Rhinolophus ferrumequinum: one gene and its partners. The protein of the gene in region 3 purifies or fractionates together with the protein of the main gene of each other region. This does not show direct contact. Links are inferred from orthologs where the notes say so. Each region holds a gene or a part of one and is shown on either strand. Other genes may lie near its edges.

The links.
Region 1: the proteins of IKBKG (region 3) and CNTN2 purify together in Homo sapiens (affinity purification with western blotting, with the first as the bait; 3 studies listed by BioGRID). This does not show direct contact. The link is inferred for Rhinolophus ferrumequinum from reciprocal best matches to the Homo sapiens genes IKBKG and CNTN2.
Region 2: the proteins of IKBKG (region 3) and MALT1 purify together in Homo sapiens (affinity purification with western blotting; 4 studies listed by BioGRID and IntAct, with this or other methods). This does not show direct contact. The link is inferred for Rhinolophus ferrumequinum from reciprocal best matches to the Homo sapiens genes IKBKG and MALT1.
Region 4: the proteins of IKBKG (region 3) and NFKBIB purify together in Homo sapiens (affinity purification with western blotting; 5 studies listed by BioGRID and IntAct, with this or other methods). This does not show direct contact. The link is inferred for Rhinolophus ferrumequinum from reciprocal best matches to the Homo sapiens genes IKBKG and NFKBIB.

The regions. Positions count from the first base shown.
Region 1 is NC_046305.1:26,100,214-26,108,213, forward strand, and holds the start of CNTN2 (contactin-2), read right to left. Parts: upstream 3,009-8,000; 5' UTR 2,932-3,008; coding exon 2,697-2,931; intron 1,481-2,696; exon of another isoform or gene 1,264-1,480; intron 1-1,263. UniProt on the Homo sapiens protein: In conjunction with another transmembrane protein, CNTNAP2, contributes to the organization of axonal domains at nodes of Ranvier by maintaining voltage-gated potassium channels at the juxtaparanodal region. May be involved in cell adhesion.
Region 2 is NC_046302.1:47,376,649-47,383,840, reverse strand, and holds the start of MALT1 (mucosa-associated lymphoid tissue lymphoma translocation protein 1), read right to left. Parts: upstream 3,006-7,192; 5' UTR 2,785-3,005; coding exon 2,510-2,784; intron 1-2,509. UniProt on the Homo sapiens protein: Protease that enhances BCL10-induced activation: acts via formation of CBM complexes that channel adaptive and innate immune signaling downstream of CARD domain-containing proteins (CARD9, CARD11 and CARD14) to activate NF-kappa-B and MAP kinase p38 pathways which stimulate expression of genes encoding pro-inflammatory cytokines and chemokines.
Region 3 is NC_046284.1:6,116,187-6,123,760, forward strand, and holds the start of IKBKG (NF-kappa-B essential modulator), read right to left. Parts: upstream 3,010-7,574; 5' UTR 2,606-3,009; exon of another isoform or gene 2,505-2,605; intron 1-2,504. Other genes in the region: G6PD (glucose-6-phosphate 1-dehydrogenase), read left to right, coding at 3,191-3,290, 4,114-4,241. UniProt on the Homo sapiens protein: Regulatory subunit of the IKK core complex which phosphorylates inhibitors of NF-kappa-B thus leading to the dissociation of the inhibitor/NF-kappa-B complex and ultimately the degradation of the inhibitor.
Region 4 is NC_046298.1:38,185,649-38,193,242, reverse strand, and holds the start of NFKBIB (NF-kappa-B inhibitor beta), read right to left. Parts: upstream 3,011-7,594; 5' UTR 2,922-3,010; coding exon 2,743-2,921; intron 1-2,742. Other genes in the region: SIRT2 (NAD-dependent protein deacetylase sirtuin-2), read left to right, coding at 3,257-3,382, 7,245-7,293, 7,547-7,594. UniProt on the Homo sapiens protein: Inhibits NF-kappa-B by complexing with and trapping it in the cytoplasm.

The DNA of each region.
Region 1 (8,000 bases), on a different chromosome or scaffold from region 3:
GCAAAGCCCTGAGTGGGGGGGGCAGGGGGAGTTTGTCCAGAAGGATGAGAGGTGGCCAGCAGGCCTGAGGGAATGAAAAGGATGTCTGTCTTCTTACATATTCCTAGTAACCCCTACCTGTTACCATTTGAAAGAGAATAACCTGAGCCTGGAAGAAATTTACAGGGTCCTCTAGCCCAACCTCTATCTCTTGGCAGGACTGTTTCTAACCTTAGACCTGACCCCAGTTTTCTACAGCCTTTTAGAGTCACTGGAAAGATTGTCTCACCTCAGGGTCATCTTCCTAGTGAGGAAATGCCTCCTGCAATCTAATTCCAATCCCTCCAGTTTCCAATCCACAGAGCATATTCTTCGCTCTGGTTCTTCTTTCCCTGAGTATCAGCCCATTCTTGCTAACGCCCTAGTTTTGTCCTAGGAATCCCTTCAAAAATACAAATAGCACCCACACGCAGGCGTAGGTTGTCTTTGAGATGAACGTTCTCGCAAACATTTGGTCTGAGGATGCTCTGGGACAGGGATGGAAGACGTGCACCCTGCAAACCACCCCAGACGAGCTGCTCCCCTGTGGCCTCAGAGAAGCCGCTTTGAGGGCAGCCTGTCCCGTGCACTCGCTCCTGAGGAAAACGTTTGGTCCATCAAAGGCAATATGTGCAGCCATCCCATTGAACACCATCCGCAGAGGCCCATCCCACATGTGTCTCTATTTGAACAGCTGCTGACAGACAAGGTGCTGGAATGGAGTTACATAAGAAGTGAAATCTGGCAGCGGGAATGGTGTGGGGGTAGGTTGAGGGCTGAAGGTGCAGTACATTTGACCAGGCAAGAAAGTGTGAGGGGAGAGAGAGCTTGGCCAGGTGGGGAGTAGAGGATGAACGAGAATGAGAGAGAGTCACAGAGAAAGTGCATGCTGAGAGTCATGCTGAGCACCAGAAAGACAGGTGGACCTTGGTGACATTGATGTCATGGGCTCAGAGACCCCCTCCCCATCTGTCTCACCTCCTGCCTCCCTTTTGCTGACTGGGGACTCCTGATAGATCCTACAGGAAAATAGGAAGAACTTTGACCTTGTGGCAAAAACCTGGCTTGAATGTTTCTGCAGCCTGGCTAGAAAGAGTTAACTGGTGTGGCAACCTGGGGAGGGATTAGATGCTGCTGTCTCTAAGGGCAGAACTCTGTCTTTCCAGGCCAGGAGTCAGGGCTCCATCTCCCTGCGCCCCGCCCCCCAGGAGCCCAGGTCACACCCCTCTCCCACAGGGGCCTCACCCTTTGCTGCCCTGGATCCTCAGTGGCTCATCTGGTCCCTCTGAGTGTAACTGAGAGGCCGCGTGGCTAAGTGGACTGAGGGGTAGGAGAAGAATCAGACCGCTTCCCAGGAGGTCACGAGGGTACTGACAGACTGGGGTATTGGGCTATTCCTGCTGCCGCCTCCCTCAGAGCAGAAGAAGGATGCTGGCTGGTCTGGGAAGGGTGTTTGGGGGCCCTGGGGAGTCAAGCAGAAAGGAAAGTGTGGTAGGGTCTGACCAGTTGCAGGCTGGACACGGAGTCGGGGAAGTTAAGGGCAGGTAACTTAGCTCCTGGAAAACCCGTCCTTCTCCAGGGCTGTGGCCATGAACTCACAGCCCATCCCATCCTGGTCTGTCTGGATTCTCAACCCTCCAAACAACCTTGACTGACAGCTTTTCCTCCCTGGGCACAGGCTTGGCCCTCAGTGGTCTGTGGCTGAAGCACCCCTGGCTTTGTACCGTGTAGCTCCAGGATTCTCCTTCCACAGGCTCTGTCTCATCTCACCCCCCTTTTTTGCTTCCCAGACCTTGAAGCCCTCCTGGAGAAGGCAGTGGGATTCAGCTCTGGCTGGAGCTGCTTCCCCCACCTCTGGTCTGCATGGTGCTGGGGAGACGGTTGGCCCTGTTTTTCTAGACCTCCTAAACTGTGCCCTTCCCCCTCTCTAGTTCCAGCCCCTTTCCTTACGGGAAAGCCAAACTTCATGCAAATCTTTCTCTCTTGCCGGTGAGGATGAGGGGCAGGGATTTGAGGAGAAGATAGGGTTGGGGAGGAGGGAAGGGAAAAAAAGGAATTTCAGCCCCTATAGTCCCAGCCGCTCTCGCTTAGGGAGGTGACTTGCCTCAGTTTCTCCTTCCTGAGTCCCCACTCCTATACATGTCTTTGCCCAAACTTGCTCCACTGCCTCCTCTGTGAAACTGCAGCGAGACTTTGCAAAGAGGTCACCCTGCAGAGGCAGACGCAGGGCAACCTCAAGTCGAGTCGGGGCAGTCAGACTCAATTCCATTCAGGGACATTTATGGGCAGGCCAGGGCTCAGGGCCTGGCCTCAGGGACTTTCTGGTCCTGGACTGGGGGCCCAGGGCAGGGTCCCTAGCGCTGCCCTCTCTGCAGGCAGTTGCTGCTGTCAGCTGGTGGTGGCTTGAATTCCTGGACACACTGCTGGGGGCCAGTTTCCTGGCCAGGCTTGGCCTGCCAGGGCCCTGCAGGATGCCACCCACATAGACAGGGCGGAGGGGACCTCCACTCCCAGCAGCCACCACCAGACTGGGGTGAGAAGTCAGACTGGACCCAGCCAGGTTCCCGCCCTGCCTCAGCCCCTCCCAAGTTGCAAGGACACTGAGCTCTGAGCCCCTTTTCATAACAGCGCCCTGGGGAGCCACTGGAAGGGAGGAAACAAAAGCGGTTGGCACCTACCTGGGGTGAAAGAAGGATGTGGGCTGGGGCAGGCAGGCGCTGCCCGAGGTGGTGAGCAGGAGCCAGCAAGCTGCCAGCCCCCTGGGCCGGCCTCCTTTCCTCCCTGCTCCCTCAGCTGCTCGCTGCTGTCCTGGTGTGGTGGCGGCAGCTGCGGTGGCGGTGGCGGTGGTGGCGGCAGCGGGTGAGGGCGCTTGTGTGTGTGTGTGCGCCCAGAGCCACTGCAGCATCTCTGCATCAAGATGTGCTCCTCCCTCTCCCAGGCTCCGCTCACTGGCTGGCTACGGTCCTCAGCCAACGCTAAGGGGCCCTGGAGATGGCTTCCTTCTGCCCCCCTCCCACTCCTTTTCTCGTCCCCACCCTCCCGGCTTTACCTCATTTGCTGTCATATAAGGACTAGGGAGCAAGCCAGGGCACCGTAATGCATGAGCAGCATGGGCAGCTCAGCTCTCGGGGTGCGCTGTCTGGCCTGCCCACTCCCCCATCCCCGCCCAGCCCAGAGCTCAAGGGGCTGCAAAGGGGTGCGGTGCACAGGGAAAAGAAAGTGGCTCTTGCTCTTCAAACCCTGGAGACCCATGAAGCCAAACTCATTGTTTCCCCAGAAATCTCCTATTGGAGGGCGGGATGCAAATCAGAAATCCCCAGCTTGTTGTGGGAGGGGCTCCTTCCTTGGCCCACCCCCACATGTTCACTTTATTGTTTCCCTTCCTTATAAAAGTAACACAGCTCTTTGTAAAACTAGAGGAAATTTAAAAATAGTGAAAGTCCCTTAACAAATTTGAGTTACATGCCTCCAGGTTTATTATTTTCATGTATATAATTACATGGCTTATTAGTATTGTTTTATGAAAGTGGATCACAAATCATGATTTGCAGAATATTTCTTAACTATAATAGATCTTGGACACCTTTCCACATCAGTACTTATGGATCCAATCCTGTTTTTAATCAACCAGCAGTGTGATTCGCGAAAAGCTCACTTGATTAGGGGTCTGAATGTCTGAAGAGTAAGCTGGGCTGTGCTACTGAGGGGCTGTGTGCCAGGCTACGTACCCTGTCCTGTCTGAGCCTCACGTGGAAACCGAAGGGGTTAATGATGGCCAGTTGCCTGCCAGCTCTGAGATTCTAGATGCTCACCCAGGTTGGCAATATCTCTCCTGTCATGGGGAGAGGGCTGTGACCAGAAAGGCTGGGGCCTGGAGGTAGAGGGACCAGCCATCTGCGGCAGCAGTCAGCCCCATCAGGCTGTCACTGTTGTCTCATCCCCCTCTGGGCCACCTGCTGTCCAGCTCACACAGGCAAGACCAGTGAGCGGTCCAGATGCTGAAACAGCTGGCAGGGCCAGGCGAGCCTCAGAGTTTTAAATGGCTGTACCTGTCAAGCCTGGAGCACTGCAATGTGTCATCCTGAGTGGAGCAGGGCACAAGGTTTTGGGACAATCCTGGCCCGAGTGGGAGGGCCTGGAAAAGGAGAAGGAGATGTGGTGTGAGGGAGGTTTCGCTGCCCAGCCTCCAAGGCCCAGAATGCCTGCCCAAGTCCGATATGTCCTCCTCTCCCATCCTGCCACTCCCCTCTTGAAGGGCTTTCCCAACTCTGGAGACAGTCTGCTTTGTTTCAGATGGAGAGACATCTGATTGTGCCACCGTGTCTTGGACGACTTGGCACGCCTCTGTGCAAATCCCTTCTACGTACCTTCCATTTCCTGCCTCCTCTGCCCACAATGTCCTTTTCTGTCTGTCTTCCTGTGGGGCTGGCACGTGGGCCCTGAGCTCCTGAGGTGAGCCGTGCCCTCTGACACCACCCAGGTCAGCCCAGGCTCTGCAAAGAGGGCTTCGAGTTCTCTCCAAGCAGAAAACGGCTACCGGGAGACCGGGTGGCATGTCTGCTGCCATCAGGCGACTGGTCAGGGGATTGGCTGACTCAGGGGCCAAGGCTCTGGAAATGCACGGATTGATTTAGAGCAGGGGTGTCCAAACATTTTTCAACGTGTTTCACCAAGGGCCATACGCGGTAAAATACACAAACAGCCGGGCCACTCACTCGAGGTGAAGTACGTATTGCCTCACCTGGTTTATTTAAGTAAACTAAATACATTTTTGGAATTTGCTGGGACCAATTAACAATGGATTGCGGGCCGCAGTTTTGACACCCCTGCTTTAGATGGAGACAGCTGTCTTTGTGACTGTTTTCAGACAGCTGCTGCCCTCGTGGTGGGGGCTGGGTCCTTGGCGAGGCCCCAGTTCCCTCCCCATGAGTGCAGGTGACGTGGATCTCAAGGAGTCTCTCAGATCCCACTGCAAGCCGGTTGCCTGCCCCAGGTGGGCTCCAGCAGCCACAGGAAGTGAAAATGAGAGCGCTTACTAGGCCTAGTCTTGGATTTGGGGAGCCATTTGCTAAAGTTTCATCTTCTCACCTGTCTGCAGTTCTCACCTGAGCCTGATACAGATGAATTTTGGGGGTTCTTGGGGATCATCCATCACTGCCAGCCTCTAAGGTGCTCCTGCTTCTGACAAGAGAGTGGGGTGGGTGTTTGGGGCTCCGGGCTGAGTTTTGCTTGTGGTGTCCATGAGTTTGAAAATAACCAAAATATTTTATAATTTCATTATTAATTGTGAATAAACTATTAATAATAACTTAATATCTCCAGTGTGTCAGGAGCTGTATTAAGTGCTTTACCTAAATTATCCACCCAAGGGATATGTGATGCTATTTTTCTCATTTTACAGACATGCTCAGAGAGATTAAGGAACTTGCTCACAGTAAACAGTAAACAAGTGGAGAAGCAGAGACCTCGGGTCTGGCTCCAGCATCCATGGTTTAACCATGATGCTGTGTGCTTCAGGCATTTGCTGCCTGCTCGTCTGAGCTGGGCACAATAGAGGACAGGATGGTGTCCTCTGTTTTGGTGCCTGCCAGATCCCAGAATCCTCAGGACAGTTGACTATAAGAGGCACCTCTGCTCTCCGTGGCTAATCAATATATCTCCCTGTCTTCTAGAGAGGGGCACCTCATCCCCAAGTGGAGTCCCCCAGTCTCCCAAGAAGGGCAGAGAAGGGCTAGTCAAGATGATCAGGTGGCTAATCAAATGGGCCATTAACCTGCTTGGAAACGTGAGGTGACCCAGGAGCGGGAGCCCCCGGAAGGCATCTTGAGGGCCACCCAACCTTTCCGAGACTCTCTGCTCCTTCCTCCGGCAGCCCCACCAGATCAACAGCAAAGGAGTCCAGTGGATCCCCAAATGGGGCCCGGCCCCAGGGGCCAGTGGGGAGGAGCTGAGACCTGCCAGGGCCCCAGGGCTCTGACCATGTGGATCTTCCGCATCAGTTGTAGCCTCATACCTCCTTTCCTGCCCTCTCCATCCACCAGCATCTTTGGCTTTGGCATCAGACTTTAGCCCCTTTCCTAGAGCTCCCAGGAGACCATATGTGTCCCAGGAGACCATGGCTCCCAGGAGACCATGACCAGATGTCATGGAGCAACATCTACCTAAAATATCAGGGGATTCAAGAGCTATAGGGTGTGGTCTGTCTTCAAAGTACCTGTAATCTTTCTGGAAGCAGCCTGATAACGTTACTAGGACTGTCCATCTGCAGCTTCAGGGAAGAGTGACAAAGCCGGTTGGGCAAAGCTCTGAACTCAGACCTGCTTGGTGCACAGTCTTGCTACTTATGAGCTGTGTGTCCCTGGGCAAGCCACTTACCTCATCAAAGCCTCAGGTTCCTCATCTGGAAAATGCAGGTTAAGACACAAACGTCACTGATGGATGTGAGCATTGAACTATGCATGAAGTATTTAGCACAGTGCCAAGCACATAGTAGGTGCTCAATAAACGTCAGTACTTCCCTTTGGGACTTTTTGGGATTCAGCCTCCCCATCTGAAACACACTATGAGGCTGAGCCCTGCTGCCAGGCTTTCTCTGCTGCAAATCGGTGGCCCCAGATTTGTGGTTAAGAGAACTGGACTCTGTCTCAGCTCTGTCACTCCAAGCTGGATGACATTGGGTAGGTCACTAAAGTATACTTAACTGACGGGGGAATCCATTTCCTCATCAGTAAAGTGGGAATAATCCTACTCCTACTTAGGATGGTTTAAGCACTTAGCCAAGTGTCAAATAAAATACTGATGGTTATTCCCTGTGCAGTGTCCGAAGGTAAGGATTATCTCATTAATGTCTCTATTTTCCCAGCCCCCTTAAGCCCCCGCACTGCTTAGCACAATGCCTTGAGCACGTAATAGAGACTCAATAAATATTTGTTGACTGAGTGAATAGATGGAGGAGAATACTGCTGTAACAGTTCAGATGACGGGGAGAGAAGGCACTAGGAGGTGGGTGAGGTTTCAGTCAGGGTTGGGGGGCACGCCTTGAACTGGAGCTGGACAGACAGAGTGGAGGTGAGAATGCAGTCCTGGCATGGGGTGTAGGGAACTGGAAAGAGCACGATTTGTGTGGGGCCAGGAGGAGCCAAGTTGAACTGAGCAGGGGGTGCTGGGAGAGACATCTCAGTATTCTGTCTGCATTTGCCTTCCTAATTTCACCTGAGGGCCTGGAGGGGTCGGTGGCTTGGAGGGGCCTAATTATTCTCTTAGCCATTTCCACCCAGGGCTCTTGGAGCTTCTTTTTCAGGCTTATAATAGACAATGCTAATGTCATTATTAATATTTAATAGTAATGATGCTAATAATGCCTTGCATTTTTGTGGTCACTCCAAAGAGCTCAAAGAACCCTGAGTTCTTTTTTTATAAAACACTGTGGCCAGTGTGGGAGGTGGGAGAGTGAGGGTCAGGGGCTGTGGAGAGAAGTTGAGTCCTAGGAAAACCAAAGCCCAGGAAGTTCAAATGATTGGGCCAAGGTCACAGAGCGGTGAAGGGAGAGCTGAGATTAGGGTTGGATGCTTGCGTTCCCTTCTCAGATCCAGATGCCTTCGATTCCAACAGGGCATCTGGCTCTGAGAAGAACATCCCTGGTAGTGGCATCTTTTGGTCCTGGCAAGACAAAAACGTCCCTGGATGTGGGCTGGGCAACAGAGCAATAGCCTGAGTGTTCTTACTAAGCCTGCCCAGAGTGGCTGGTGGGCAGCCACGAAACATGGGAGCAGGAAGGGGCAGGTGAAGGCACTGGAAATCCTTGGCCTGTCTGAGCCTCAGGCCAGACCCCTCTTTTCCCTGCCTGTCTGATGTATAACCTCTTGGAAGCAGATTCAATCAGCCCATGTGAGTGCACAGACCTCTCTCTAATGACTCAGCCTTCTTGTGCCGATTTTGCTATCTTTACCTATATTCCCCCACTACAATTTGCCAGGGCCAAA
Region 2 (7,192 bases), on a different chromosome or scaffold from region 3:
TTTGTCTTAAACAGAATAAGCATCACCAGCTTTCCTTGCCCCCTCCTTTGTCCCTCTCTAGCCCCCAAGTTCCCAGTGCTAACCTTTTGTTATGTCAGTTTAATCCCGATTTCAACAGGTATATGAGCTTCACGTCCCCCAATTCTTCAACCTTCAGGGTGCCCCGGCTCTTCTCACCACAACTAACCTACTATGAACTATAACCCTCAGCATCCTAGCAGACTGGTGAAACTCCACCTCTCTTATCAGACTTCCCACGCTGGAATTCCCAGATTCCACAAATGCACGCCTTCTGTTGCTTGTCACTTCTTGGTAGGCAACTGCCCTTCTGTCTATACTAGCTTCACTAGAAATGTGAGTTCAGAATTTTCTGTTAGTTCCCCCAAAGAAAGCTAACACAGTTCTACAGCCTTTAACAAAACCTCACTGAAGGCTTGGGGTATCCACTACTCTTAGATTCCATCAGCCATGCTTCTTCAGTGGCAGGGCCTTACTTTCTTCTCTCATCACAAATAGGAGCCCTTGCTACCAGGCCCTTCCCTGTTTAGGAAAGGCCAGAGCCTTCAGTAACTACAGAACTAGTTAATAGCACCAGTTAACTAATCACAGATCTGGTGGTCTGACCCCCAAAGAAAACAACTTTTCACATTATTGTAAGTCTAGAAATTCAGAAATCTATGGACCTAGAATAATAGTATTTTGGATTCTCTTTCCGTAGCCAAAAGGACAATTTCCTAGAACAGAAAAAAATTATACCATTTGTCTGCTCATCTTTGCCAGTTTACAACTTCTTGATCCCATCCTCTATTGTTACTCCTCTGTGTGGCCAAATACTCCCAGATTCTGGTTTAACCCCAAACTCTGAAACTGAAGGTTGTTGTGAGGGTTCAAGTAGATAATCCATGCAAACAGTACACTGGTCTATTCTAAGTGCTTAATAAATGATAAACATTTGTTACTATCATTCACACCCAACATAGCACTTAACATGTTATTTGTGACTGTTCCAGAATGACAGTTCATTACGAGTTAGCCTTTATGAATAAGAACTAAATATCTGTCTTCTTTTTATCTTCTGGAACTTCTAGCAAATAATAGGCACTCAATAACTATAACTTTGAGTGAATGTCTCCCCTCTCAATTCAAAAGTATTTATAGAGTGTGTAATATAACTTCTATGCATGATACACTCTTAAGCTATGGTTCCTGTTCGCAACAGGTTTATAAAGAAGTATATGAATAATTACAGTACAAGACAAAGCTTAGTCACATGAGAAGTTAAAAGAACTGCTAAAGGGTTCAAAGGCAGACCAAAATCATGCCAATGATATAGAGTAATGGTTCAAGTGTGATCTGGGAAACCCTCATGCAGGTCCTGAGACCCTTTCACAGGACCCAGAAGGTCAAAATGATTTTTCATACTAAGATGTCATTTATCTTTCTCATTCACTCTGCCAGGAGTGTACATTGGAGTGTCTGGCATTACATAATCTGTGAGAGTGCAACACACTGAATGCAGAGGCACATAAACGCAGCCAGCCCTCCGTAGTTAGGCCAAGACATTAAAGAGATTTTCAAAATGTGAAACAGTGCGTTTTCTAAACTATTTGTTTTGGAAAAGTTTGTTTTTCCACATGTAGTTTCTGTTAACATGTAATGGGTTATTCTTTTTCAAGAAGTTAATATTTTAGAAATTTCTTAGTTTTAATTTCTAACATGGGAAATATCAGTATATATTATATGTATGGAATACATAGAACCCACATTAAAAACGCTCTGGGGTTTTCATAATTAAGAGTTTAAAGGAGTCCAGGGACCAAAAGTTCAAGAACCACTAGCACAGCGGTTCCAAGGCTGGTAGCAGGAAAATAGTTTTACTTATACATGTTCATAGCGAAGTCGTGAAAAGGACTTGGTAAGTAGGTTTGATGGAGGAAGATGGAGAGTTCAGTTTGTTTTTTCCACCATCCCCCTCTCCCTACATAAAAACCATCATGAACTCCTGCACCCCAAACTCTTCCATTACCTCTTTACCTGCATGCACTTCTCGCTAACCTTCCTCAGGCCTTCCAGGTCTGTGCCCGTGTCCCGCTAGTTTGCATTTGAAGTCCTTCCGAGTCACTGCCTGTCACAACGCTCTCCTGACAGCCTTCCTCCTCTCAATATACTCCTAGGTCAACCTCGACTTTTCTCTGTCAGCTCCCGGGGGGGAGCGTCGGAAAAGGGTGTGAACACCGGGGTTCAATATCCAAGCTCCAATATTCCCAGGGCTTTGCTGGGGGAAGGCTCTCTCTTTCTGGAAGATGACTGGAGTTGTCCCCACGTCCTTTCCTCCTTCCACATCAGCGGCCCTTGCACCGTCTCGCATGGCCCCGATGCTCTCCAGCATCAGGGTCCACCCTCCCACCAGGGTGCCCCCCCACACTGCCCTCGCGCCCCGAGCCCAAGTCCACCCCACGTGACCCCACCCCTGAGCACCGCCCCCCCCCCCACCCCCCCGGCGCCTCACCTCAGCCGGAGGCGCCCCCGACTCCCGGCCAACTCCGCCAGCCTCCTCCAACCGCGGCCCTCGGGCGCTCGGTCCAAGACCCCGCTGAGCCTCCGCAGCAGCGGCTCCGGAAGGCGGTTGAGGGTCGCGCTGGCCGGAGCTGGGAGCGGCGGCCCCGAGGGTGCGGCCGGAGGCGGCTGCGAGGCCAGGGGCGCCAGGGCCTGCAGCAGATCCACGCACCGCGACATGTCCCGCGCCGGCGACCCCGCCACTGCCGCTGCTCCCGCGGGCCACATCGCGGGTCTCGGCTCCAGCGCACCTTCCGCTCGCCCCCTCGCTCGCCTGGGCACCGCGGCGGCGGGGGCGGAAGGACTAATTCGGCGGCGCTGCACCGCACTCGGATGAGGAAGCTCCGCTCCCCGCCCCGCGGGAGACAGGTTTGCAAAGAGGAGCCGGGCAGACCGGCCGCGCCAGCCGCCCCAGCCGCCCCGAGGAGGCGGGGCCTGGAGGCGGGGGCGGGGCCGCCCACTGCGCGCGTGCGCACAAGCCGCGCGCCTCCCTGGCCCTCTCTGCCGGCTCCGCGCTCCGTGAGGCGCGCGCTTCAAACCTGGGGAGGTGGAGTCCTGGCGGAGCAGGAAGGGTTGGGTGGTTGCCGCTGTAGGAGGAAGCCGCGGAGGAACTACGCCGAGGCGGCTCCACTACGGCGAGGAAGCCTGTGGCGTCGGGGCTTCCCGAGACCGTGGGAGGAGGATTGCCTCACGCCAAACACGGGAGCACGCAGCTCTCCAGTTCCTGGCCGCTTGCTCCCGGGGCGCGCTCCGCTGACTCAGTGTGCAGGGCGACGCCACCAGCGCCCGCATTGGGCAACCTCAGCGGAGGCTTCCTGGTTTCAGGGATTGGTGTGTGTGCGTTGTGAAGAGAAGTGATGCCAGGCATCCGGATACTTAATGGAAGTTGCCCGAAATTTATGCCTTTTTTTTTTTTTTTTGTTAGCTAGGCTGTGGCCTATTTAAAACGAATGAGATGTTGGAAGTGATTGTTTTTAGCAGGAATCGCCTGGTTTCCTCCAAGTCAGACTGCCACCCACAATCTTCATAAATCAAAGCAGGCAACCTTAGAGAGAATATCCTCCCCTGGAAGGGTCCAGAATAGATGAGATAAATGCAGACGTCACCTAAGCTCGTTTTCCCAAGCTTAGCAATATTCAAGGTCGTTGTCCCATTGAAAACTATAGGGTCGTTTGGGACAAAAGCAAGCAATTTAACAAAGTGTGACCAGCCAGGTATTACCCAGACACAAGGCTTCCTGGCCCAATTTCTCGTGCATCAGCTTTTTCATCCCACAGGACAGCAGGATTTTTGGTAGCAATAATTTGGACACCCAAATTTTCTACTTTTGGGGAGGTAGATGCCCCATACAGTCTCCACCACATTCTAGTACAAGCCATTGGTGTACAGTGTAAATTCGGAGTTCAGAATGCAGTATAATGGCGAACTGCAGAACCTTTGGGTCCAGAAAAAGCTGCTCGATTCTAGTTTTATGACCTTGAATAAGTGACTTAATTCTCTGTCTCATCTGTTAAAATGGGACTGAAAATATAGTATATATAGAGTGGTTACCAGATTTAAAGGAGTTGATGTATATTAAGCACGTATTCTGCTTGGCTCATACATAGTGAATAATAACCGATAGCTATTATCCTTGCAAATGCAAAAGCTTCTTTCATACTGTTTGCCTTGGTAAATTTTTCCCAGTCACTTCCAGTGCCTTTCTGTTTTGTCCTCAATCATTGAACAAATATTTTGAGTCTATTAACTACATGGACCAATTATGGAAATCAAGTCTTCCAGTCTTTATTGGTCTAGTTTATGAGTCTAGTTTCTAGTCTTTTAAAATTGAGATTCAACAGACTTCCTTTTTCTAAGTCTACCATATGCAAGGTGTTGCTGATATAGCTTCTCGTATGTGCCTACGGGTTAAAGTGGGTACCTATGTACCCTGTGAGTATCCTTCCCAATTTGATCAGGGGCGTCCCACCTCCTCCCTTGCTTCTCCTATCGACTCCAAGACACCTAAGACAAGCGCCTTTCTTATCTCATTCTAGGCCAGATCCTTTTTTCCACCTAGCAATTTTATAACCTATGCATTCACCGCACTCCAGCCTCTACCTTCGGCTGACATTACCTTTTATGACTAGTCTTTTTCCCCTCCCAACCAAATGTTAATATTTTTATTATGCAATTTCACTTCTGTGGTTCTCTATGGGGCATAATAGTATGGTAGCAAGAATGTGATCTTTAGAATTTGCCCAGAATTTGAATATTGATGCAGCCACTTATTAGTGGTATGACTTTAAGTAAGTTATTTAACCTCTCAGCTTCAATTTCCACATCTGTAAAAAGCGGAAGATATAATAGTACCTGCTTCAAAGGATTGTTGTGAGACTTAAATTACACACACATATATAATAAACAGCAATATAGCTTCCTTTTCTATATATCAACCATTTATATAAAGATGGGAGAAAAACAGAGTGGAGAGCTGGCTTTTAAATGCCCCTTAAAAGTTCATGCATGTCAAGGGGATAGCCGGTTAGCTCAGGTGGTTAGAGTGTGGTGCTGATAACACCAAGGTTGCCGCTTCAATCCCTGCATGGGCCACTGTGAGCTGCGCCCTCCTTAAAAAAAAAAAAATGTTCATGCATGTCTATAGATAATATACTTGGGAGTTCTTCCTCATTATTTAAAAGTGACATAGATCTTTGTGAATCCAGACAATTGGCAGGAAGCTGTGGTTTCATTCTATGGAAATCCATTGATGTAATCTTCAAAACACAAGCCTTGAAACTGACTCATAGATTTTTTTCCCTTCACCCAATCTCTCTATAGATAGTACTCTAACTAAAAATGCCAGAGTGACATATTATTTTATATCTGGATAGGTTTTTTTTTTTTTTTTTTAAGATTTTATTGGAGAAGGGGAGCAGGACTTTATTGGGGAACAGTGTGTACTTCCAGGACTTTTTTCAATCAAGCTGTTGTCCTTTCAATCTTAGTTGTGGAGGGTGCAGCTCAGCTCCAGGTCCAGTTGCCGTTGCTAGTTGCAAGGGGCGCCCACCATCCCTTGAGGGACTTGAGGAATCGAACTGGCAACCTTGTGGTTGAGAGCCCCACGCTCCAACCAACTAAGCCATCCAGGAGGCAGTTCAGCTTAAGGTGCCATGTTAATCTTAGTTGCAGGGGGCAGAGCCCACCATCCCTTGTGGGACTCGAGGAATTGAACCGGCAACCTTGTGGTTGAGAGCCTAAGGGCCCATATGGGAATAGAACCAGCAGCCTTCGGAGTTAAGAGCACGGAGCTCCAACCGTCTGAGCCACCAGGCCGGCCCCTGGATAGGTTTTCAATGGCCCAGTGCAGGAGAAAACCTGCAGGTCTTGGGCTCTGTCTACAGCAGAGGGAAAGGAAACAGGAGTCTTGATTTAAATGGCGTTGCTTATTTCCTACCATGATTCCACACCAGCAGCCTTCATGGCCTCTGACACAGCCTGTGTGTGGAGGCGTCTCCGTCCTCTCTCAGACACAGGATCTCCACATCCCTTACAGCCCCTTCTTGCTGGCATCTCCCAAAGGATTAGGGGGACTTTCCCATTTTGATTTCATCTTTGGAATAGTACCTAAGCATCACACTAGTATTTCACATCCTTCCTTCACAATGAATCATCCGTGGCAAGAACTTATGTACTTGTTTAAATCCATTAATCAATTAATTAATTAATTCAATCATCAACAAATATTTATTGCATGTCTACCTTGTGCCAAGTTCTATGCCAAATACTGTTAAAGGATGGTTTTAAATTTTTTGTTTTTGTTAAGGCTCCTTTTTTTTTTTTTTTTTTTAAGAGCAGTTTTAGGTTCACAGCAAAATTAGGGGAAGGTACAGAGATTTTCCATATACCTTCTGCCCTCATAGCCTCTTCTTTTAGCGTCCCCCACCAGATGGTATATTTGTTACAATGAATGAACCTACATTGATACATCTTAATCACCCAAAGGCCATAGTTAATCACCCAAAGGCCACAGTTTACATAGTTCCCTTGTGGTGGTGTGCTTTCTATGGGTTTAGACAAATATATATTGAATGGCAATGTATCCGCATTATGGTATCATACATAGTATCTTTACTGCCCTAAAAATTCTCTGTGCCCCTTCTATTCATCCTTCCACCCTCCCAACCCTTTGCAACCAATGGTGTTTTTACTGTCTCCATATTTTTGTCTTTTTCACAATGTCATACAGTTGGAATCATACAGCCTTTTCTGATTGGCTTCTTTCACTTAGTAGTAAACATTTAAGGTTATTCCATGTCTTTTCATGACTTGATAGCTCATTTCTTTTTAGCATGGAATAATATCCCATTGTCTGGATGTACCACAGTTTATTTATCCATCATCTATTGACGGACATCTTGGTTGCTTATGAATTTTGACAACTGTGAGTAAAGGTGCTATAAACATCCATGTGCAGGTTTTTGTGTGGGCATGTTTTCAACTCCTTTGGGTAAATACCAAGGAGCAAAATTGCTGGATTGCATGGTAAGAGTATATTTAGTTTTATAAGAAACTGCCAAACTGTTTCCCAAAGTGGCTGTACCCTTTTGCATTCCCACCAACAATGAGAATTTCTGTTGCTCCACAACTAGGCCAG
Region 3 (7,574 bases):
CGAAGGTGGAGACAGAGACTGGAGTGGCGACAGGCCAAAGGACACTTGGGGCCACCAGAAGCTGCAAGAGGCAGGAAGGACCCTCCCCTACAGCCTCTGGAGAGAGCACGGCCCTGCCCACACTTGACTTCAGACTTCCAGCCTCCAGCACTGGGAAAGAATAAATCTCTTGCAGCAGCCCCAGAAAATTAATGCACCTACTAAGAAGGATTTCGAGGAGACCACTCAGACCCTGATGAATGTTCCCTGGAACTGAGGGGACAAAAGGGAAATCCAGTATCTGACTTTTTGCTTTAGAATCGGCAAGTGGGAGCTGGGCTGACAGCCTAAGACAGTGGGGCAGAGACACAGGCTGAGCTGTCCCCATTCTCTTGTGAACCAGAGGAGAGGCGGGCCGTGAGGGACAGTACCAGCCTGGAGCCCTTTTCAATCCTGCCCAAGAAGACTGACTACCTGGCGGAGGAGGCCACTCTCAATACAAGTTTTGAGGCCTGAGCTGAGGGAGGCTTTCACAACAGATAAACTTGGACATTTGACTACCACACTGAACACACCACTAACTCATCAGCAGCATCTGACCAACCACGGATTCCTCCCTCAGCTCCCAGGACAGCCCTCTCCTAGTTTTCCTCCGACCTCACTGGCTGCTTGTGCTCGGTGCCATGCACTGAATCCTCTTTGGTAACCCAGCCCTTCACACTGTGATGCCCCGGGGCTCTGTTCTAGGATCTCTTCTCTTCTCTGTCCAGTCCCACCAGTACTAAGCATCCAGCCTCATGGCTTTAACCCCCCACCTTAATGTCAATGATGCCCCAAATTAGACCTCTTTCCTCAACGCCACACTCACATATCAAACTCAACATCTCCACTTGGAATCTAGGAGTCCTCTCAAAACTAATCTCTCTAAAACTGTTCCCGACAGTTCCCAAAAGCCAGGTCCCGCAGCCTTCTTTCGTGTCAGCTGATGGCAAATCCATCCTCTCGTTATCAGGACAAATACCATGGAGTCCATCTTGACTCCTGTCTCTCACAGCTCACATCTGATCCATCAGGAAATTCTACCAAAATATATCCCAGAATCGATCTGATGACACTAAGCAATTAATGTTAACTATTTTAGGTGGGATATGGTATTGTGGTTGTTTTTTTTTTTTTTTCAGTCCTTTCTTAGAGATGCATACTGAAATATTTACGCATGGTGTCTGAAATCCACTTCAAAGTAATGGGGAAATTCCTAGGTATATACCCAAAAGAAATGAAAACACATGTCCATACATGAATGCTCACAGCAACATTACTCATGACAGCCAAAGAATGGAAACAACCCAAATGTCCATCAACTGATGAATAATCAAAATCTAGACATGTTACAAAATGGATGAATCTTGCAAACATTATGCTAAGAAAAAGAAACAACTCACAAAAGACCACATATTGTATGATTCCATTTATATGAAAGGTCCAGAATAGGCAAATACACAGAGACAGAAAGATTAGTGGATGCTTAGAGGCGGGGGAGATGGGGTGATGGGGTGACAGCTAGAGGGTGCAGGGTTTCTTTTTGGAGTGATAAAAATGTTCTGGAATTAGTGGGTATGGTTGTACAACTCTAAATATATTAAAAACCAGTGAACTGTACACTTTAAATGGGTGAACTGTGTGGTATGTGAATTATATCTCAATAAAGCTGTCATTAAAAAGAGTAATGGGAGAGGATTGTAAAAGGTATAAATTAAACAAAATTGGCCACAAGTTGATAATTGTTGAAGCTGGGAGGTGGGCACATGGGATTTACTACACTCTTCTTCCTACTTTTGTACGTCTTTGTAATTTTTCATAATAAAATGCTCATAGCACCATTGTCTCTCACTTGGATTACTGCAACAACCTCCTAACAGGTCACCCCTGTTCCTACCCTTGCCCCATACAGTCTGTTCTCCCCACCTCGGTCAGAACAATCCGCCTAAAAGGTAATTCCAATCATGTCCCTCCTCTAATCAGATCTCTACCATGCATGGTTCCTCATTACCCTCTGTGTAAAAGCCAAAGTCCCTACAATGGCCTACAAGACCCTGCACTATCTGATCCCTTACTGCTTCCTCTCCAAGTACCTCACTCACTCTGCTCCAGCTATAATGGCCTCCTTGCTCTTCTTCCAACATGCCATGATGGCCCTTTTATCCTCAAGTCACACAAACGGTATGAGGTCGGGCTGACATGAATCGTTTTTGAAAAGTGAACAAACGGAGGCACATGAGATAAGACACTTAGCTGCCAACTCTATTTGAGGTCTTTTTAAAGAATTTAACCACCTCACACACAAGCAAGTTTGAACAGAAAATGTCTCCGAACTACAAGAGTCATCCACGAACTATGGGTGTGGTCAGACTCCGCGGCAGCGGAGGAGGGACAAGCGGAAACAGTCCCGCTCGCCTCCAAGGCAACCTGGGTCCTGCATCGGCCCGCCTGGGCCAGTACTCTAGAAGCGGGTGGCAGAAACGGACCTGGGCCCAACAGGAGAGGGAAGCCTAGACGTCCGGGGGAAATCTAGGAGGCGGCGGAACGCCCACCGATGGTACCCTGTCTTCGGGGAAGAGGACCACACCTTTCAGCAGAATCAGTCCGACGTAAGAAGGGCGGGAGCAGCGGGCCGCGAGCGCTCCTCGGGCCCCGTCGCTCCGAGAAAGTCCCGGTTCCGCGGTCGCTCTTCCCTTCTCCCCCACGAAATTCCCACTTCCGGCTTCCGGTGTCGTAACTGTGGGATCCGGAAGTAAAACACGCAAGCCCCGCCCCTCCAAAGAGGCCGGGAATAGATGTGAGGGAAGCTGTTCCAAAGGGAAGCCTGAGCCCGCCACCCTCGGCCGGCCCGCAGGACGCTCCCCAGTGATGTTCCCCACCCGCTACTTTCCGGGGCGTCAAACCCACACTCCCCCTTGTCTCTTGAGCGGTGGCACCCAGCCTCCGGGCGCTCGGCCGCCCCGCCCCTGCTAGGGGAGGAGCCACGAAGAGGCTACCTCGCAGGACAGGTTTGACCGGTCCGGGAGGGGGCGGGGTGAAGACGGCCCCGCCCATAAATGGGGGTCGAGGAGGCGTGGCCACACTGCCGGCGGAAGTGAGCCCTCCGCGAGGGCGCCGGGCCGCCGGGGGCGGAGGGGCAAAATCAGAGTGTAGGGGCGGGGTAGGGCTGGCTATGGAGACGTGGGCGAACGGCGCAGAGCTGCTCGCGGACTCGCGAGGCATCGGGGACGCGACACAGCGGCGATGGGCACAGCAGGCAGCGGCCGGCCCAGGTGCCCAAGGGATGGGGCGGGCCAAGGGAGGGGACTCCGCGGGAGGGGAGGCTAAGATGCGCGCGCACCTGCCCTGCCCCCCGCGAGGGAGGGGCCCATGGAGGCCCCGCCCGCGCGCCTCGCCTGAGGCGGTCAGCTCAGCTCAGGCGCCCGCCCCCGCTGGTTAAATGGACCCGCGGGTCGCAGCCCCCGGAAACGTCCGGGAACTCCGGGGCTGAGAGACCAACTGGCAGAGGCGGACAGGAAGCTCAGGTAACGAAGTGGGCGGGCGCCACACCGGTGTTGGGGTGTGCTGCGCCGCGAGGCCTTTCGATTTGCCATGCTGGGGAGCCGGGTAAAATCAGAGAGTCTTAACGCTTTCCAGTGGACCCCTGAGGAGACTGAGATCGTGAGAGGGGCAGGGACTTGCCATGATCTCCCAGCTTGGTAGGAGGAGGACTGGAGCTGCAGGGTCTAACATGCTCCAGCTTGTTGTGGGGTTTCCGCCTGATTCCAGGCTGAGATGAAACTAGCATCGTGCGATGCTCCAGCAGGGGTTTTTTTACCCAGTTCCTCAGAATTGAGACTCTCGTTGGAATCCACTAGTGCTTTGAGTAATTTTGTAATGTACACTGTGAAAGAAGGCTTCCTGGGGAGTATGGCCGGAGCTCAGAGCCAGCAGCTTCTAACCCCCCAACCATCCTACCTCCCCCCATTCTCAGCCAGTGGTTTCGAATAATCAGACTTCAGCTGAGTGAGAGCCCGAAAGACCCCTGAAGAAAGGGGCCATCTTCTCAGAGCTCTTCTGTTCTCGTGCCTTGTCAACAAGTCTTTCTTTCACCAGAGAGCATCATGGCAGAGCAGGTGGCCCTGAGCCGGACCCAAGTGTGCGGGATCCTGCGGGAAGAGCTGTACCAGGGTGATGCCTTCCATCAGTCCGATACACATATCTTCATCATCATGGGTGCATCGGTGAGTCTCCCCCAGGCCCCACATCTTAAAAGTGTGAAGTTGCTTAAGGTCTCTTCCTGCTGGGTACCTGAGCTTTCCCAACTGGTTGCCGTGGGGCCACACAGGCTCAGCTCAGTTAGACTCTCCTTCTTACTCCTGCTCGTGTGCCATTATCACCCAGCACACCTGGTATACACACACTGTGAGGCATTTCTGAAACCTGCAGAGCCGTTGAATGTAGACCCATGTCCTGGAGCTGGAAGGTCCTTAGGGACTGTCTGATTGGATTGCTTCCTCCATGGGGAAAACTGAGATGCAAACAAGGGAGGCTATTCATTCTGTGTGTATCTTTCTCAAACTTGTTTGTGACTTGACAAATGTCACACAGTCAATTAGTTCCAGAGGCAGGATCTGAGGCCCAATCTCCACCTTGTCTCTCTACCACGTCAAGTTCCCTGGGGACAAACACTCAACCTTTCTTTGAACACTGTCTCTTTGCCCCAACTTCCAAGGCCTGCTGAGGAGCTGTGACCTGCCCCATTGTCTAGCCAGTGGCACTGCCATTTTGCTCTGATAGGAAAGGCCATGGCCCCTACACTAAGGCCCCCTCCCGGTGTACCATGTGGAAATGAGATCTCTGCCAGGCGGCAAGATGTGTGCAGGGCCTGGTGAGATGAGTTGCCAGGGCTTCATGTCGAAGTTAAAGCGGCCTTCTCTTTTCACGTTGAACCCTGAATGTGACGAAGCATCTGCTAAGCATCGCAGGACCATTTTTACCCATAACTTACTGTATAATCTTGAGGGAGAGTTCTACCCAAACTAGTCAGCTCTTGACGGGGAAGGCATGGTCTCTCTGTGCCGTCCACATCATGCTCCCCTCACTCTGGAGGACCTTGGTTCTTTGTTCACGTATCAGCGTGCCACTGTCCTTTGCAGAGGCTGCCCCCTGCCAACTTTGGGATTCTGATTAGAACTTGGAAAAGGAGAGCCAGAATGCAGGGAGGGAGGCAGAGTGGGGGAGAAAGGTTCTGCCGGTGGGAGGGAGGGAAGGCCTGCACTAAGCACTGTCCTCTGGCTCCCCGTAAGTCCACGGCTGGGGAGTACACAGTAGCAGCACACAGGGGGCAGATGTGACGTCCACCTTGTCTCCAGCCTGGTCCCCTTAGAGGAGCCATACCTGTATTGGCCACAAACCTTAACACCAAGGACTCTGACCATTAGGCCCTTTGTCCAAGAAATAGTTTGGAGGAGAAAGTAACTCAGGATTAGTTCTCTTCCTTCCCTCCAGTCACAGGATGCCCCAATAGAGCGTCCCAGGCCACAATAAATGGCTTACAATTCCAGACCCTCAACTCTTAGACATCTCACTGAGATCATCCAAGCTTGCTGTGTGACCTGGGGCAAGTGTCTTCCCTTCTCTGAACCTCTGTGTTTCCATGTAGCAAATGAGGGCTTTTGAAGCAAATGCCAAGGCTTCCTTGGGCTCTGCCGAGCTGATTCTGTAGCTCCTCATCATTGCCTTCCTCTGTGGCCAGCTTGGGGTTGGGCAACTTTGTTTTCTTGCAATTGGTGAGGTTCCCCTTTGCTCCCCTCTGCTCTGAGAGCAACAAACAGAAGCTTTCAGAGCAGAAGTGGGAAGTGCCACTTCAGTGCGGTGGAGTGGAGGAGGACAGGCTGTGGGGAGGGGATCCTCCGAAGAAGAGCCTCCTTGTTTGTTTCTCCATCCTGCAGTTCAAGGGGGCTGGAGTGGGGTAGGCGGGCCTCCCATGCTCAGGCAGCACCTAGAACAGCTCCCAGAAGCAGGCCTCCCATGCCTGCTCCCTCCATGTAGAAAGTAGGCACGGTGGTTCTCTGGGAAACCAGTTAGTTCTCTGCTTATTCAGGCATCAAGTGGCGATTGAGTACCTCCTCTGCAGTGCAGTGACACAGGCCCTGCCCTCCTCATGGGACCTGTGTGCTGGGGGACTGGGACCCAAGGTGAGTTAGCAACCCAGTAAGATTTCAGAGTGGCGCATGTGACAGAAGACACAAACGGGCCCTTGTGTCCCCAGCCCCCCCTCCCCCCAGCACACAGATCTCCTGAGGAGGGCCTTCAGAGCAAGGCCTGCAGAGCCAGGGCCCAGGGAGGACTCTACACCAAGGGAAGAGCAGACACTGCCCAGTGGCTGATGGGCACCCTGGGACAGGCTGAGCCCATGTGGCCATCCTCTGCCCCTTCCTCCCTCACTCACTTACCCAACCATCTTCTGAACACCCAGCTTCCTTCCTGGGGGCATCACAATGCTGGTTCACAGACTTACCCAATGGGCTTGGGGCTGTTTGCTGTTCTCTGTTCCCCCCACTATATAGCCACTTCTCCCCATCTCAGGATTCCCACCCCCAAGCAGAAAGGGAGTGGAGGTACTTACTGTCCCAGTCTAGAAAACTCTGGAATGAAAGCAACCAGTTTCTCCTTACAGACCAGCGCAAGGGGAGGAACCTTGGGCCTGGTCCATTATGTCCTCCCCCCATCTGATGGGGCCTCGGCCAGACTGGAGTGATGCTTCCCTCCAGGGGATGTAGAGAGAAATGGGGGTGAGAGAAAGAGATAGGACTGCGACTCTGCCTGGGCAGCACTGGCTCACTGCAGGGGCCTCAGTCTCCCCACCTGCACCACAAGGGCCATGGGCTCACTGAGTGCTCAGAACCCATCCCAATGACGGGCCTGTGCAAGGAATGACCTGGCAGCCCCAGCCCCTCCCTCTCCTCAGGATCTTGCTGGGCTGTCTTCCCCCTTGGGCCGGTAAGATTCTTGCTGTGTCATGATGATGTCGGCACCCCCCCCAAGTCCTGGTGATTCATGAACCCCACGATGGAGGAGGGAGGCTCTTTTTTATAGCCTCGCCTACCCCAGCGCTCTCACTGCAGTGGCCACGAGCCAGCTGGGCTCCAGCCAGAGCCCGGGCTCCACCCTGGGGGACCCAGCAGATCCTTGACCTGACTGACCCTAGGGGGACGGGATGGCCCATCCCTGTGGGCCCTCTAGCTGGCAGCCAGCCTCTGGAGCTCTCTGCCACGCCTACAATTCTCAAAGACAGATATCGGCAGTGGTGTGGCCTTATAACACTGGAGACTGAAGACAAAGCTGGGCAGCCACAGGTGGGTGGTGGCCCAGGTTCCTTTGCCCCAGCCAGGCCACATCCTGGTGGCTGGAGAGCCTAATCAGGTCGTGCTTCTCCAACTAAGTCACCGTGTCCCCCATCCTCACTGTGGTCGTCGGGCAAAATGAGGGGGCTGGGAAAGATTGCCACATCTCACCAGGAGCCCCTGTAATTGCCCTGTCCCCACACGTGGATTGCTTCAATTTGGTCAACA
Region 4 (7,594 bases), on a different chromosome or scaffold from region 3:
GGAATCGAACCGGCAACCTTGTTGTTAAGAGCTCGTACTCTAACCAACTGAACTAACCGGCTGCTCCCCACACTATAAATTCTAAAGCGGGGGTCAGCAAACATTTTCTGTAAAGGGCCAGATAAATATGTCAGGCTTTGTGGATCATGTGTTCTCTCTTTTATCTACTCAGTTCTGCTGTGGTGATGTGGAAGCAGCCACTGGCAACATGGAAACGAATGATTGGGGCTATATTCCAACAGAATTTTATTTATGGAGTCTGAAATTGGAATGTCATATAATTTTCACTGGCTACAAAATATTCTTCTTTTTTTTGTTTTCAACCATTTAAAAATGTGAGAACCATTCCTAACTCACAGCTACACAAAAGCAGGTAAGTGGCTGGATTTTGCCTCGAGACCAGAGTTTGCCATCCCTGTCTTGCAGAGAAACCACTAAAATAACAAAACATAAAGTTAAAGCTAACAAGCCAACAAAAGAAATATAATGGGACAACATGTACTTGTTCCAAAAGAAGGGAGAAAAAGAAAAGGGAAACAAAGAAGAGATAAGTAGAAAACCAGTAACAATATGATAAACTCAAACCTAACCATATCAATAATTAAATGCAAATTGTCTAAACACTCTAATTAAAAGGTAGAAATTGTCAGATTGACCAAATAAGTAAAACCCAACTATATGTGCCTACAAGAAACACTCTTTAAATATAAATATTAAAAAAGAGGTTAAAAATAAAAGGTGGAGTAAGCTATATCATATCATGTTAACACCAATCAGTCAAAAGAAAGCAGTAGGAAGTATTTTAATATCAAAGTAGATTTCAGAGCAAGTAATATTACCAGAGATAGAGAAGGCTGTTTCATAATGATAAAGAGGTCAATGAATCAAGAGGACAGAATAATTCTAAACATTTGTGCCCCTGATAATGGAGTGTCAAATAATATGCAGCAAAACCTGATAAAACTACAAGGAGGAATAGACAAATACATAATTCTTATTGGAGATTTCAATACCCGTCTCTAAATAATTGATAGAACGAGTAGACAGCAATCGTCAGCAAAGCTATAGGGGACTGGAACACTATAAATCAACATGACCTCTAATTGACAGCTAGAGAACACTACACCCAACAACATCAGAATATACATTCTTTTCAAGTGCACACACAATATTTTGGACCAGTAAACAACTCTTAATAAATGTAAAAACTTTCAAGTCATACAAAGTTATGTTCTAGGTCCACAATGGAATTAAATTAAAAATCAATCAAAGAAAAGTATCTGGGAAGTCTTCCAAATATCTGGAAACTAACATACTTCTAAAAAATCCACTGGCCAAAGAAGAAATCAGAAGAGAAAGTATAAAGTATGCTGAATTGAATGAAAATAAAAACACAACATGTCTGAATTTGTGAAACACCGCTAAAGCAATACGCGGGGAAATTTATAGCACACAACACCTATAATAGAAAAGAAGAAAGGTCTCAAATCAATGACCTCAGCTTCCACATTAAGACATTAGCAAAAGAAGAATTAAACCCAAAGTAAGCAGAAGAAAGAAAATAATGGAAGTCAGAACAGAGATCAATAAGAGAGAGAGAGAGAGAGAAAGAGAGAGAGAGAGAGAGACTTAGAGAATTAATGAAGCCAAGTGGGTTCTTTGAGATCAATGTTTATTGAGTGCCACCTATGGGTCAGGCACTGTTCAGTCACTGGGGATACAGCAGAAAACAACACACAAAAACCCCAGGTACAATCCCTCACTTGGGCCTTTCCAACATTGTTCTTTTACCCAGAGTGGTTTCCCCAGTAATCTGGTTGTCTCGTTTTCCTGCTTGATTTTTCTCCAAAGAACTTACTATCTTCTGGCCTACCTTTTCCTGTCTTTCTTTTTTCTTTTTCTGGTTTTCTTTGTTTCTTCCTGTCTTCCTTCTTATTTTGTGTCTTTTTCTTTACTTTCTTTTTATTCCTGCCTTTTCTTTGTTCTTTCTTTTTCTATTTTCTCCCCCTCTTTCCTGCCTTCTCTCTCCCTTTTTTCCTTCTTTTCTTTTTTCCCCTCCATCCCTGCCTTCCTTCCTTCCTCCTATCTTTCTGTCAGTCTTTCTGTCTATATACCCCTCTCCCCCAAATGTACACTCTACAGGGCATAAGGTGTAAATTTTTGTCTGTTCACCGTCTTATCACCAGCACCTGAAACAGGGCTTGGAATATGGTAGTGTTCCACAAATATTTGTTTAACAGATGAATCCCTGTTACCATGGAGCTTACATTTTCTCTTTGAATATGAGATGTAAAGATTAGTGCACAGAAGATGGGATCTTAAAGTCAAAGACCAAGTATTAATTTTGGAAATCAAGGTCTAACGCTCCTAAATCAGGAGCTAAGGATCAAAGACCATATTTGGAGAGGTTAAAGGTCAGAAGGAGATTGCTTGAGCTACAGTTCTAATAAAGGTCTCAGAACTGGGGTCAGGAAAACCAAATAGAGTTTTGGGATCAATGGATAGGAATGTGGAACTCTGAGATCCAGAGTTCAAGAAAGGAGGTCAGAAATTATTGCGTTGGGATCAAAATTGGATAGTAGATTGGTGTTTTTAAAGGTTAGGACCTGTGGGTTACATACAGATCAATAAGTCAAGCATCAGAAGTCAGATTTAGGAGAGGTTGGGAAGCCGAGATAGAGACTAATAGGAAATCAGATGTCGTATCCTAGAGCCCGGTTTGGCAGCCTAAGTTTCACTCACGTGTCCCCATCCTCAGTGACGTAGCCGAAGACTAGGGGTGCCCACGACAGCCCCGGGCCCAGCTCCGGACCCAGTCCTGGTCCTCCCGGGGCCGCTGCGTCGGGACCCAGAGAGCCCAAACCGCTGTCGCACCATTCGTCGGCATCCGCAGCTTTCCCCAAGCACGCGACCCCGGCCATGGCCCCCGAAGCCTCAGGGGCCCCCGCGGCCGCCCGCCTGTCTCTGGGCTCTCCCTGGAGCACTGGCGCTTCCGCCCTGCGGGGAATTCCCCAACACTCCCCCCTGGCTCATCCAATCAGAGTGGGCTAAATAGCTCTAGCCCCGCCCCATACCACACCGTGACCAATCAGAGTATTCAGATGTACTCTCTCGACCCGTTCTCATATTTTCCGGGCGCCCTTTACCAACATGGCTGCCGGCGCTGGGCATTTCGGGACTCGTAGTCCGGCTCGCCTGTAGCTTTACCTAAGAGGGGCGCGCGCCGAGGTTGTGAGAAAGCGTGTATGCGTCCTCGATGACTTCTGGGAGTTGTAGTTCTCTACCCTATCTCTGCTCCTCCTGTTTCCGGTGCCGTCACGGGACCGAGCAGTCGGTGACAGCCCCGAGGGCCCCCGCCCCGCGCCCATGGCCGAGCCGGACCGTGAGTCGGGGGCTTCGGTGGGAGGGTCGGGCCTAGCCGGGGCCTGGCTGAGGGCTGCAGGCCCCGGGACCCGAGGGCGGGCGTGGTGGGCAGGAAATTGGGGCTGCCTGGGGAGGAGTGGGGTTCGGGGGGCCGTTCCTAAGTGATCCATATTGCTAGGTTTGTGGGTTTCTGGGTCTCGAGGTTTTAAGGGTTCGTTTGCCATGTCTCCCAAGTTACTAACGATCGCATGTTTCTCGCACCTGGGTTGCCAAAGACCCTCGTTGCTAAGGACTTAGGTTGCCGCGGTCCCGGTTGCTAAGGGTACCCGATTGTTAGGGGGTACTGTAGAATGCTAGGGGACCCCTGGTGTCCCTTCCTATCTCTTCCCTCTAGTTCCTGTGCCTCTCTTAAACATACCATCCCCAGCGCACCTCGTCTCCCACATCCACCTCCAGTCGGAGTATCTCTTCTCTCTTTCTTTCTAAACTTATCTCTGCTTGTAAACCTAACCCTCCCTGCAAACACGCTCACATACTATTACTATGTCCTTCCTAACTCCTCCTAAGGTTTCCTCTATACCATATATCCTTTACTTTCTCCTTCCTCTCCTAATCCTTCCTGTCCCAGCTCCTTTGCCCCTCACTAACCACCTCTCTTCCCGGCACTCTCCACTCTGCTTTTCCCCATCCCCTTCTTCCTTTTACTCCATTTTTACCATTACCCTCTACCGCAGTATAACTAGGTTGGTGGGTCTTCTTGCCCGGCCCCAACCCCTGCTTTGAAGCCCTTCGTAACCCCTTAACGATTCCCTCCACTATAACCACATGTGCTCCCCCTCCTCCCCCAGCCTCTGACCCTCTGGAGACCCAGGCAGGGAAGGTGCAGGAGGCTCAGGTGAGATGAGGGAAGGGTGGAGGGAAGGAGAGAGATGCACTTGTTCCCACATCCCACTCCCCTGGGGGGAGGGGACAGAGGGGAGAGTTACCCCAGGGCCCTCAGCTCACTACCCCAACCCCTTGCCCCACCTCCCAGTTCAGCCTCCTGAGGAATTGTGGATTCAGGGGACTGTCAGAGAAGGGGGTGCAGCCTCAGCCCCAGGCCTGCCCTCCTGAACTTTCCTCTTTCCTTGCCCGCCCTCTCCCTTCTGAACCTTATTTATGCTGGTCCTGGAGGAGTCAGACATCCAATTTAGTCCCTGAACTCACAGATCTCATGGACAAGTGACTAGAAAATGACCCTATGGGGTGATTGTGTAGGTAGCTCAGGGCACTGTGGGAGCCCAGAGATTCCCGCCAGTCCCTCCCCTGGAGGAATCTACAGGCTGGTCTAGGGGTCAGATTGAAGTAGAGACACATCGTAGTATGTGCAGAGCAACTTCGAATTTTCTTAGGCAAAGTGAGAAATGGTGTCCCATGCAGAGGGTACAGCTCGTGCAAAGACCTGGGAGCATGGAAGAATGTGATGTGTGCAGTAGGCACTGGCTGGGGTGGTCAGCTAATTATATGCATGGTTAGCATTTATTGAGTACTTAACTTCAGCCGGGTACTCTGCTTGGTACTTTATGGGCATCATCTCATTTCATCTTCCCAGCATCCCTGTGGGGGTCAAGTCCTATTGTGGTCATTTTATCGATGAGGAATTTGAGGCAGAGTTCTTAAGTATCCTGTCCTCTGTCCCTTGGCTAGAAGAGCAGAGAAAGGCTTACAACTCACAGCACCCAGCACACTGCTTTCCAGATGCTTCGGAGAGGGGTAGACAGGCTGCCAGACAGAGGCCTGAAGGCCCTGCCAGTACCTCCAGCTCCCGCTTAGGCCGAGTTGCTCCCGTGTGTTGGGCAGGGCCCTTGAGTCTATCCACAGAGCCTCACTGTCTGTGGCCTGAAAGAATGCCAGCCCCCCACAGCCGCGAGATCGCAGTTCAGATGTAGGCAGTGCAGAAGCTGTGGTTAAAGCACCTCACAGATAGATTCACAGCAGAGGGTATAAGAGCTTCCTTTCAGGCCAGGGCTTCTCCCTTGCCTGGCTCCCAAAGCAGGACCACTGTCAGAGAAAAGGTTTAATGTTAAAAAGGATCCTCAGTCCCAACGAGAGAGACTTGAGGATGTAAATTGCAGCATTGTCCATATGGGGCAAAACTGGAAACCGCCCAAGTGGCTGTCCATAGATGGGTGAAATGAACTATGGGGCCTCCTTACAATGCACCACTAAGCAGCTGCTTAAAAGAATGAGGTGGGTCTATAATATCTTGTTCTGCAGAAGATGCACGGTGCTGCATTGTGCTATGGTATGACCCCTTTCTGGAAAAATACTGAGTTTTACATGCAGAGAAACAATCTGAAGTAATTACCATTGTACTGTTAATAGTGGTTATCTCAACGGGGTACTGGCAGTGGGAATTATGAGGCAGGTGCCCCAAGTTGTACATTGTCTAATAGTCAGACATTTTACAAAGCTTATACAATCTAAAGAGCGATAAAAAATTTTCAATGTTTGGGAGGGAGGTTCCGATTCAAAAAGACTTGGAACCAGATAGTGTGTGATGAGGGAGAGGAGCTGTTGGAGGAGTTTTAAGCAGGAGAGTGAGTGGGTGAGAATTGCGTTTACACGGGATCCATTGCAGGGCCCAGCCCTAGCCTAGTGTACAGCAGGTATCCATTCATTCAGTGGTGGATACTTCTGGAGCTCCTGCCAGGTGTCAGACCCTATTCTTGGTGCTGGACATTCAGTGGCGAACACGAAAAACACCTGCATTCGTGGAGCTGACCTCATGGTGGACCCTGTAGATGTCCGTGATCATGTGATTAGATTGGAGACACCAAAGAGAAGGGCCTGGACCGTGGAGGGGAGTGGGCCGTCCCAGACAGGCCATCATGCGGAGGGTCATGGAGTAGATTGCAGGTGGAGACTAAGGCTGGCAGCCTAGGGAGGAGGCTGGGACAAGGGCCTCTGTGGGGAGAGGACAGACTGGACCAGGTAGAGCCCTGGGGAGGGGACAAATATGGTGGGAGGGCAGGGGAAGGAGGTGGGAGGCCACACTGGATGGGGCCCAGGTGGAGGAGCAAGCTTGGGGGAGATGCTGAGGCCAGGTTGGGACATAGTGGGAGTGAGGGGCCTGAAACCCCTTAGGGGAAAGCCTCCAGGAGGCCATGGGAACCCTGCATCAGGGGACAGAGAGGTGGCATCATCACTGACATGGATGAGGCAGCTCGCCCAGGGAAGGTGGAGAGACAAAGCAGGGAGAGCCCTAGACAGAGTTCCAAGACCTGCAATTTGGGAGCCTGGCCAATGCGCAGAGCTGATAAAGGAGATGGAGAGGTTGCAAAGGCTATCTGGGGCTTCCAGACGCAGGGTGAGGACCGAGGTGTTTTCACCGGCATTATTCCATGATTATGAAGTGCCTTTGGTGAGGAGGGCTGCGGGGTGCTGCGAAGGGGCAGCAGCCTACACTACAGGGGACAAGGAGAGATACAGGGGGAGGATAGGGACGTGGCATATGAAATAGCAACAGCTAACGCTTCCTGAGCTCTTACCCCGCGGGGTGCTGTCCTGAGCACCTCACACAGTAACTCATTTCATCTCACAACAGTCTCCTGAGGGGAACCCTCTGAGCTCCATCTCCAAGAGGAGGCGCCCCGGAGACTCAGAAAAATGAAATCACTCGCATGAGATTATGCTCCTTGGGAGTGACAGGCCAGGTCCCCTGCACAGGCAGCCTGTCCCAGAGCCCCCACACTGCCCCCCAGAGCTGTTCCTCCATTGCCCTGCACTTCCTCAGGCCCACCTCCCAGCCAGGGCCTTTTTCCCAAACTGGGTTGTCACCCCACCCCCTACTCCCTAACCTCACTTCTTGGGCCTGGCCACCCCACCTCCACCCCTTCCAGGACTCAGATTCAGACACTGAGGGAGGAGCAGCTGGCGGAGAAGCGGAGAGTGAGTATCTTCCTTGGGAGGCCGGTTCTGGTGGGGGGCCGTGTAGGGCAGGGGTCTGGGTGACATGCCTCACCTCATTCAAGGTATGTAATAATGGTTCTGTGCCAGCACCTAGAAGCCCCTGGCTGGGCTAGGCATGGAGCCTTGAGTTGTGGGAAGGCAGAGGATCCCTGGGCTGGGGCAGGGGCACTCAGGGCCTCTGTGCACCCCGGCTGACACCCACTCAGCCGCCCCCTCTCTTCTTTTTGGCCAGTGGACTTCCTGCGGAATTTGTTCTCCCAGACGCTGGGCCTGGGCACCC